Arabidopsis thaliana: one gene and its partner. The protein of the gene in region 1 interacts with the protein of each later gene in a pairwise test. Each region holds a gene or a part of one and is shown on either strand. Other genes may lie near its edges.

Region 1 (3,553 bases):
AGTTTTTACGTTAATTTATTATTATTATATGTTAATCTTTGATTATATAGAAGTCATTTCAATAGATTCTGTTTTTATTTAATAAGATTAATGGATAGTGAGGAATTCTAATTACAGTTAATCATTAAAGTTTTTAGCCTTTTTTCAACGACGAAAAAGAAAAGATACGTAAGATCGTGACCAAAAAAAAAACAAAGTGGGATCCATTTTGAACCATTCATTACAGTTATTAATTTATTTACACATAGTATCAAACTAACTACACTTGTATTACAATATTACACAATATTGAACTTAGTGCTCCAGAGACCGAAGAGGAGATTCTTTTGTACTACTATTGGGTCGCAAAAGGAAATGCAATGAGTAAAAGTCATTGTTTGATTAGAATACAACAAGACTCGAATGCAAAATAATTCAAGTGTTTGGATATTTTAATATATATCAACTAATATTAAAATTCAATAACTGGTAGTGGAAACAGGAAAAGGCAAAAACAAACAATTGGTCAAGATTAATTTATGCTTAATCAGAAGAAAGTTTTAACCTCTAACTCTAAGGGGGAAAACAAGAAACTGAAAAGGAATCTTCAATAATTTTAAATCAACAACCTACATAGTTTTTATATCAATGTTATTAAAAACAACAGTATTACGTTTAAATTAACATTAACCTACATTCAAAATAGAAAGGTACGTGGCTTCCATTGGCTACTAGTCCAATTTATTCATTTCCAAAGTTTCCACATTTATTAAGAAAAAAAAAACACATGTTATGAGAAGTATGTACAAGTATTCATATATCGAGCTCTCTCACACCCACAAATTGAGAAAAGAAGATTCAAAGACAAATAAACCTAAAGCCGCCCTATACAAAATAAAGGGGTCATTAAAAAGTAATTATTAAACACAGCATTACTAGTATATTTTTATGATTATGACTTAATAATTATACAGTCCTTGAAGATCCCAATCTTGTGATAACGAGGCAGGAATCATTTGGTAATCACCTTCTGACCATTGCGGTGGATAAGGCCATAAGTCTGCGGAGTCAGAGAATATAAACTCGTTACCTAGCTGAGTCAAACCATCATAGCTCGATCCCAAACTTGGGAGCTCTACAATCTCCCCTAGCTCCTCGGAGCCGGTCGCGGAGGAAGACACGAGAGACTCTAGCGAAGAAGAAGACTGTGAAGATGAAAACGTTAAAGAAGAAGAAGAAGAAAAAGACTGTGAGGTCTCCATGTGTGCGGCTTTGAGAGCCGCGACCTGGATGTCTCGAGGGCTAAGCGAGCTAGGGCGTGGGAAAGAGCCGGCTAGGTCAGGGAAATTGAGTATAGCGGAGGCTCCTTTGATGCTAAGAGCGGCTACGTCGTGTGCACGCGCCGCCATCTCCGGGGAAGGAAACGTTCCTAGCCATATTCGGGATTTTTTCCTAGGTTCACGTATCTCGGACACCCATTTTCCCCAGTTCCTCTTTCGGACACCCCGATAAACCGGATGCTTACCGGAATCTTTAACCGGTTTCTTCTTCTCTTCTTCATTCTCTTGTCTGACTGCGCTAGCTTCCCAGCTCTTGGTACTCTCTGAAGCTATCATTGGTGAAGAGCTTTATACCAAAAACATCAATGCCACACTAAACCAATGTATTTATTTTTTTGGATTTCGAGGTATAGAAAAAAAAAAGTTTGAGGATATGATAAATGAATTATTTTGGGCAATGAGTAAATAATGAAGGAAAGTGAGAGACAGAGTTTGATGGGTATTTGTCTCTACATTTATCAATCACTTCCTTATTTATATGCAACAATTGTTTGAGGGTGGAGGTGGGGTGTGGTAGGGGTAAAGGGAGATATGGGACAAATATTGCACTAAGTCTTTAAGTAAGTAAAAGAAAAAAGGACCCACGGGCTAAATTGATTTGATGCTCTTAAAAGACCCGTACATATTTTTATCTATCATGACAACAGCATAAGTCCATATTTGCTTGTGTTTAGATGACCCTATTATCCTATTTTTTGTTTACTATTGAGAGAGGTGGTTTTTTTTTTTGGGTTTTGTTTATAGCTGGCTTTTGCCAATTTCATGTTGGATACATTCACTTGACAGAACAAATTTTGTGTGAGATCTAAATATAATAAATAGTTGTGACAACAGTCCACAAGTTTTCACATTTATTGCAAGTGATTCCACATTTTGGTAACTTATCCTAACCCTATAAATACGACTTGTATGTCGTATGAATAATAGGAGTATGTAACAACTCAATTATCAAGAAGTAAAAACTCTTTATAATAGAGTATCCACAAGTTATTATAAAAAGCTAGTATAAGACTTGTTTTCTTTTTTTATCAGCCATACATTAATTAATAACTAATTTTATGATTAGTTATTCAATTTGAAGATAAAAAGTTTACAAAAATAACTTCAGAAAACAATAATCTAAATGTCGAGCTAAACAATATAAGATTTGTTTTTATATATTAATAATGTTTCGTTTTTATCTAATTATATTTCTAATACAGTTATAGCATATAACATCATCAAATTTTGAAAGCATGAAAACTTTTTTGTCAAACAAACATGAAAACGTTATGATGTTATTAATAGTAAAATATAGCAGAAACAAATTCAATACATTATTCATTAATCATATATGTGTTATTATTTTGTTAAAAAGATAAAAAGGTAAAAATACACATCACTAAATTATCAAACCATATATTCAGCGTTTTATGGTTGTTAATCGTGTATAGTACTTAAAGTGTTTATCATGTGTCATAGAGATTATTATTCTGCTATAATACTTAGCTAAAATTGTATTATTTATTTTAAGAGGTTATTATGATTTTTGAAACAAAGGAAAAATAAGGTTAGAGCTAATGTAATTATGTAGAAGATGAGGATCTTATTTGCAACTAATCATCTCTCGTGTTTCCTAAAAGCAAATTTCATTAAAGTTCTCAATTTATAAATAAATAAAAGTCCCCTTTAGAATTCAAGAATCAAGAAAACATCGATATAACGAGATAAATTATTTTGGTGTAGAGCCGACATAATAATCTTTTATTTTAATACATGATCGTGACTTTTTATTAGATTTTATGAATTTTCTTCTTCGCGGAGAAAATGGTGTGTCAACTGTTTTTAGTTATTTTAATGTTTTCATCGCAAATTTACTGTTCAATTATCCCTTATCGTGATCTCAATGCATCATCATGCTTGTCACTACAAACTCATTATCTATACATATAATTCGAATATATTTTTTGTCAACTATAAAATTCAAATACTTTTTTTTGTCTAGCATGTGTGTTTATATATGCATACGCATATCAGGTTCGATAAATTTAAGTTGATTCGAGATTGTAAAGCTGCCAAGTCTAAACTTTCTTAAGGATTTCCGCATGCACGTTTTTATCCAAGAGATCCTTGCATCTAATTATTTCGACAGAAATAATTTTATTATGATTCTTTGACATTATTGCATTGTAATGATGTAGCCCCAAAAATTGTAAATAATTGTAGACAGTGCTTAAGTATTTATGAATTTTAAC
Region 2 (6,055 bases), on another chromosome or scaffold:
TGACCTAGCTAAGAAAGACCTAACCCTATAATAACTCAAGCAGCTAGGCAAATCTGCAGCCCAAAGAGGCTTCCCAGACACATAGGTTCCAGCAGGACCGTACTTATTGGTATCACACCTAAAGGAAAAGTACAAAGAAGCCAGATAAAACATGTCGAGATCAGTAAGAGCTCCTGATTTCACCAAACGATGATCTTCATCTGAACCAACGAACGACAAGTGAAGCTTGCGAAGCACACGTCTTTTGATCTCATCTTGCTGAGAGTAATCCTCACCTGAAGCACCCTTTTTGACACGGCAATGACCATCTCCCCAGATCAAGACACAACCATCAGAGCTATTAACGTTGGACGCTAGCCAGAAAAGAGCATAATCCCAATCAGATCCTTCAACAACGTGACGTAACCCTTGTTGGAGATTGGAATCACTTGGTGGTGAGACAAGCTTGGACAAGGCAGTGTTGGAAGCTGAAGCTGTTGAGATGAAAAAGTCGCAAGCTTCAGAGCCTATGGTGGATTCAACCATCGCTCGATCTTCTTGATTCTCCCAAAACTTTTGACCCATTTCTCCTGAAACGTTCATTGACATGGAATATACAAAAATTAGGGTATGGAATCAAATAAAATTAAAGGTATTTGGATTGAGATCGCTGCTTACAAATGAGATAGAAGATGATGGGTTTCGTGAGGAAGAGGAACGAGAATCACGTGATTCTTGCTGAGACACCGAATTTAGGGTTTGTTGGTGAAAAAGCAAAATCCTTTATAAAGGATATAACTCTAATTTATATTGCTGAGAAAGGAATGATCAAAGAGAAGACAAAACCTGAGCTTGGTTCACTTCAGATCTGTAGTGACTTGTTCTGAAATTGACGAAGAAAGAAGAAAAGAGGAAGAGACTATGCGAGAGAGAGAATATGGGTTTAATCGTAATTTAATACCAAGGACATCATTTCCTTCAGTTTTTTAACTGCAAACTATACTTTTGCCTTTTCTTACATACCAAACCACAAGTCATTGTGGTGTAATATCTATTCAACTACAAGTAAACCCATATCACTGGATTTTTGTCGAGATTATGTGTACATGTTGGGAAATTATTTCGTAGTACAACCTATTATGATGGGAGAATCGAAACTCGTCTTCTGAATTAACTTATCGCAAATCACCGTTAATAAGCGGAAAAGGAATTTACACATCTTACAATTATGCGCAAATACAATTGTTAATTGGATGAGTCATGCCATATTCTTGAGATGGTATGATAGGTATCATTACACCATGTAGTCAATCACGATTTTTTTGGATAATGTGGTTTAGAAGAACTAATCGCGTCTAATATAGACAAACTTATTCGTTCAGCAAAACAACAATTCGATATTTTTATTCGATTGACATGAGTCTTATAAAATTTATCACTAGATGTCTAATAAAAAAGGTTCAAACATTTCTAATAATTCGATTTTCGACCAAAATAAGAAACTTTAAATTAGCATCAAACTATCTTATATGGTTGTTTCCTTGCTTAACCTTCTTCCAAATCAATTTTTCAAATTAGCATCAATAAGATTTTAAAATACATCATAATGTTGTTCCGATAGTGTGTGACAACACTAACCATTTATTCCTATACAAGTTTATTTACTTGCTAATTCATTTACTGAAAATGTCCATGAACAAAATACCTAAAAACGAATAACCATAACCCAACCAAATATTAAAGACATCTCCATCAAGAAGAAACCCAAACAGTTTTTCAAACAAAAAGAATATTAGTATTTTATTATAATTTTATATATGATTAAATTTTTATTTTAGCGAACCAATTGAAAAGAGAAAAATATTATGATGGTTTGTATAAAGTATTTCATAGTTTAACGAGAAACATTCTACACTCTCTTTCTTTTCCTTTTATTATTTTTATTATTTTAATAATAAAAAATTACCAATAAAAATGGTCTATCTTAGCTTTTTTTTCTTCATTTTTTTTTCCCTCAACCACCATTCAACAATTAACATAAAAAATAATAGTTTTTTAAGTTGAAGTTATAAGAGTCAATTTAGTTTAAGTCATATGCTTTAGTAATAAGCATGACCGTCTAATCCCAAAAAATCTAAAAAGTACAGTGCCTTAGAAATTTCCTTTACCTCGACTTCCCTAATTTTAATCTTCTCGGTCGGAACTTCTGAATAATATTAGTAGAGATCCAAAACCTCACAAATTTCGACCGAGTTTTGTTGAATTCCGATTAGATCTTTCTTCCACGAAACCCCCCCAAGTACCCATTCCATCTTCTCCGGTGAGTCTCCCATGTTGGCATTACGCTAGGGTTCTTCTTCTCTGTGGTTTCGCATAACCCAATAATCCAATTTTCTACTTGGGCATCAATGGGTCGCTCTCGAGGGAACTTCCAAAATTTCGAAGACCCTACTCAGAGGTTTGTTCCTAATTCACTACTCTAATTTCCGATTTGGGGTTTTTGTGGATTTCTCTTTTGTAATTGCCAATTTGTGCTGAAATTGATTTGAATTTCAAGTTTCTTTGAGTCTGTGTTGTGCAATTGTCATTGATCTCTAGTTGGGACAATGAGCATGGCTTCAAATTTGTGGCTTTTGATAACTTTCAGTAGCTATAGTCTCCTCTATCTTCATCTATGTAATTGTGCCAATTTCTGCTGAAATTGATTGATTTTGAAGTTTCTTTGCATCTGCTTTGTGCAACAATCATTGATTTTTCAGTTGGGACAATGAGCATCGCTTAAAGTTTGTTGCTTTTGAAAACTTTCAGTAGCTATGTAGTCTCTTCTCTGTTTTCATCTGTGTAATTGTTTTTTCACTGTTGAAGCTGACATGAAAGAATCGTGTTATGCGTTTGTTGCAGAACGAGGAAAAAGAAAAATGCGGCTAATGTGGAGAACTTTGAGTCTACTTCTTTGGGTAAAAAAATACTTATCAAGGTTTTTTTTTTTTGTTTCTCCTGTCAAGATTCTTCTTTTACTCAACATTTTTTATTTGTGGAGACAGTACCAGGTGCTGAGGGAGGAGGGAAGTATAACTGCGATTATTGCCAGAAAGACATTACTGGAAAAATTAGGATAAAGTGTGCTGTCTGTCCAGATTTTGATCTCTGTATAGAATGTATGTCTGTTGGAGCAGAGATCACTCCTCACAAATGTGATCACCCATACCGAGTTATGGTTAGTTTTCATTTACTTTTCTTACCTTTTAGTTTGGAAAGAGTTTGATTCATTATACTTAGCGAAAATATCTTTTGGTTGAATTCTACCAAAGCTTAATATATGTTTCATTTGCTTTGTTAGGGAAATCTAACTTTCCCGCTTATTTGTCCTGACTGGAGTGCGGATGATGAAATGCTTCTCCTGGAGGTACCACTACTTCTTTTATCGTACTGATATGAAGTCTATAATGTCTGATTCTTTCAGTGAAAAGTAATTTCTTTTAATGTCTTTATTCAGGGACTTGAAATTTATGGCTTGGGAAACTGGGCAGAGGTTGCGGAGCACGTGGGAACGAAGAGTAAAGAACAGTGTCTTGAGCACTACAGAAACATCTATTTGAACTCACCATTTTTCCCACTTCCGGTATGCTACATCGATCTGATAAGATACCTATCTACCTCAGTAGTGCCAGCCTTTTGCAAGGTATTAACTAATTCAGGAGAAACGTTTATTTTCCCAGGATATGTCACATGTAGCAGGGAAGAACAGAAAAGAACTTCAAGCCATGGCTAAAGGACGCATTGATGACAAGAAAGGTATGCGCTTCTTTGCTTGATGGTTTTGATTCTGCGTTGTACGTGTTGCTATTTTAATTCTGATTTTGAAGTGGTTTCTTCTTTGGCAGCAGAGCAGAACATGAAAGAAGAGTACCCGTTCTCTCCTCCTAAAGTCAAGTATGTTTCTCGTTCTTCTCATGTACTGTACAGTGATAACCCTATAATTTTCTCATCTTTTGTTCAATTTTCTTGCAGAGTTGAAGACACACAAAAAGGTGAGTTCTTGCTTTGTATGCTATATCTGGTTCGTATATAGGTGTGCTTATCGTTTTGTTATTTACTTGCTCTAGCTTACACCAGTAGTTATAATCTAGTTAACCATCGCGTAAATGGAATCATCTACTTGTAAAGTAAGAAGCTGACTGAGCATAATTTTAAAATCCAAAAAGGCCCAATATTTGTCATTGTATTTATACTGGTAGATATTTTCTCCCTTTTTCTATGTTTTGACATTCTTTGTGGTTAGAGTCTTTTGTAGACAGAAGTTTTGGAGGGAAGAAACCTGTTTCCACCTCGGTAAACAACTCTTTGGTTGAGCTGAGTAATTACAACCAGAAAAGAGAAGAGTTTGACCCTGAATATGACAATGATGCTGAGCAACTCTTGGCGGAGATGGAGTTCAAAGAGAACGATACTCCTGAAGAACATGAACTGAAGCTGCGTGTGTTGCGTATCTATTCAAAAAGGTACAACATTTAAGATCAAAAGGGGAACAAAGTCTCTTCTTTTTGCTGTCCATTCTGACGCAGGTGAGTATGATGTTTGTAGGCTTGATGAGAGGAAACGTAGAAAAGAATTCATAATAGAAAGAAACCTGTTGTACCCAAATCCCTTTGAGAAGGACCTGTCTCAGGAGGAGAAAGTACAATGCCGACGTTTGGACGTTTTTATGCGTTTTCATTCAAAAGAGGAGCACGACGAGCTACTCCGTAATGTTGTAAGCGAGTACCGCATGGTGAAACGGCTCAAAGATCTCAAGGTAAGGACATTGCTACCCTCAAACTGTGCGTTTGGTTTCTTGGATTGGATGTGGCTCACTGTGTTGGATTGGTGGAGCAGGAAGCTCAAGTGGCAGGGTGTCGTTCAACGGCTGAAGCAGAGAGGTATCTGGGAAGGAAGAGGAAGAGAGAAAACGAAGAAGGGATGAACAGAGGGAAAGAGAGCGGTCAATTTGGTCAAATTGCAGGGGAGATGGGCTCTAGACCACCTGTGCAAGCTTCTTCAAGCTATGTGAATGATTTGGACTTGATTGGGTTCACGGAGTCGCAACTGCTGTCTGAATCCGTAAGTGTCTGAGAACTGAGATACTGAACAGTGTGAGATGAGTTTTCTGTCGTTGTAACTGAAAGAAGAAAGCTCTTTGTTTTGCAGGAGAAGCGTCTCTGCAGCGAGGTCAAGTTGGTTCCACCGGTTTATCTACAGATGCAACAAGTGATGTCACATGAGATATTCAAAGGGAATGTAACGAAGAAGTCGGATGCATATAGCCTTTTCAAGATTGATCCAACCAAAGTGGATCGAGTTTATGATATGCTTGTGAAGAAGGGTATTGCTCAACTTTAAGGCTTGTGTAGTGTTGTATCATATATATATATGTGTGAGCTCTAATGAGTTATTTGTTGACATTCCCTTGTTTATTACACCTTGTCAAAATTAGTTTGTAATAGAAAAACGATTAAGTTATCCACAGATTGTGAAAAGAGATAAGGTGAATCAGAGCCACACAATCTAAACCAAATGTTTTAGTATATAAGAAAGAATCTGACTCCTACAAGGAAAGGAAGAAGTGAGATGACGATGATGTCTCTCCCCAAAATGAGACTATCTTGTCTGCAACCACACCTCCATTTTACCAGTAGCAGATCAATAGCAGCAGCTCTAGCTTTTCCAAGCTCAAGCATAAGGAACAGAACATCATGTCTTGTTCGGTGTGGCTCAGCCAGAAGAAGATTGACTACGAAAAGTAGCAGAAACAGCAAGCTTGAAAGAGCACAACCTCCTCCTCTGGGTTTGGAACGGCACTGGAGATATGCTGTGGTTGGTGGAGTCTCTGTAGGGTTGATGATGGTTTTGGTATTGGGAATGGATGCAGAGAAAGCTATGGCGCTTGGACCAGAAGGTCCTTTAATGGAAGAGTTTTGGGACAACGTTAGAAGGTACGGTCTTTACGCTCTCACGGTTAGCACTGGAGCTCTCTCTGCTGTCTTTGAGCCCATCTTTGAGCTCCTCAAGAACCCAATCTCCGCCATTCTCATTCTAC

The links.
Region 2: the proteins of tny (region 1) and ADA2B interact in a two-hybrid assay, tested with the Arabidopsis thaliana proteins (one study listed by BioGRID).

What each region holds. Positions count from the first base shown.
Region 1 is NC_003076.8:8,986,038-8,989,590, forward strand, and holds tny (Integrase-type DNA-binding superfamily protein), read right to left. Parts: upstream 1,862-3,553; 5' UTR 1,596-1,861; coding exon 939-1,595; 3' UTR 505-938; downstream 1-504. UniProt on the Arabidopsis thaliana protein: Putative transcriptional activator.
Region 2 is NC_003075.7:9,262,108-9,268,162, reverse strand, and holds ADA2B (ADA2 2B), read left to right. Parts: upstream 1-2,005; 5' UTR 2,006-2,387; coding exon 2,388-2,437; intron 2,438-2,880; coding exon 2,881-2,936; intron 2,937-3,023; coding exon 3,024-3,196; intron 3,197-3,319; coding exon 3,320-3,385; intron 3,386-3,475; coding exon 3,476-3,601; intron 3,602-3,698; coding exon 3,699-3,774; intron 3,775-3,863; coding exon 3,864-3,912; intron 3,913-3,990; coding exon 3,991-4,010; intron 4,011-4,261; coding exon 4,262-4,481; intron 4,482-4,563; coding exon 4,564-4,774; intron 4,775-4,854; coding exon 4,855-5,079; intron 5,080-5,166; coding exon 5,167-5,358; 3' UTR 5,359-5,542; downstream 5,543-6,055. Other genes in the region: AT4G16430 (basic helix-loop-helix (bHLH) DNA-binding superfamily protein), read right to left, coding at 1-564; AT4G16410 (uncharacterized protein), read left to right, coding at 5,587-6,055. UniProt on the Arabidopsis thaliana protein: Required for the function of some acidic activation domains, which activate transcription from a distant site. The exact mechanism of action is not yet known.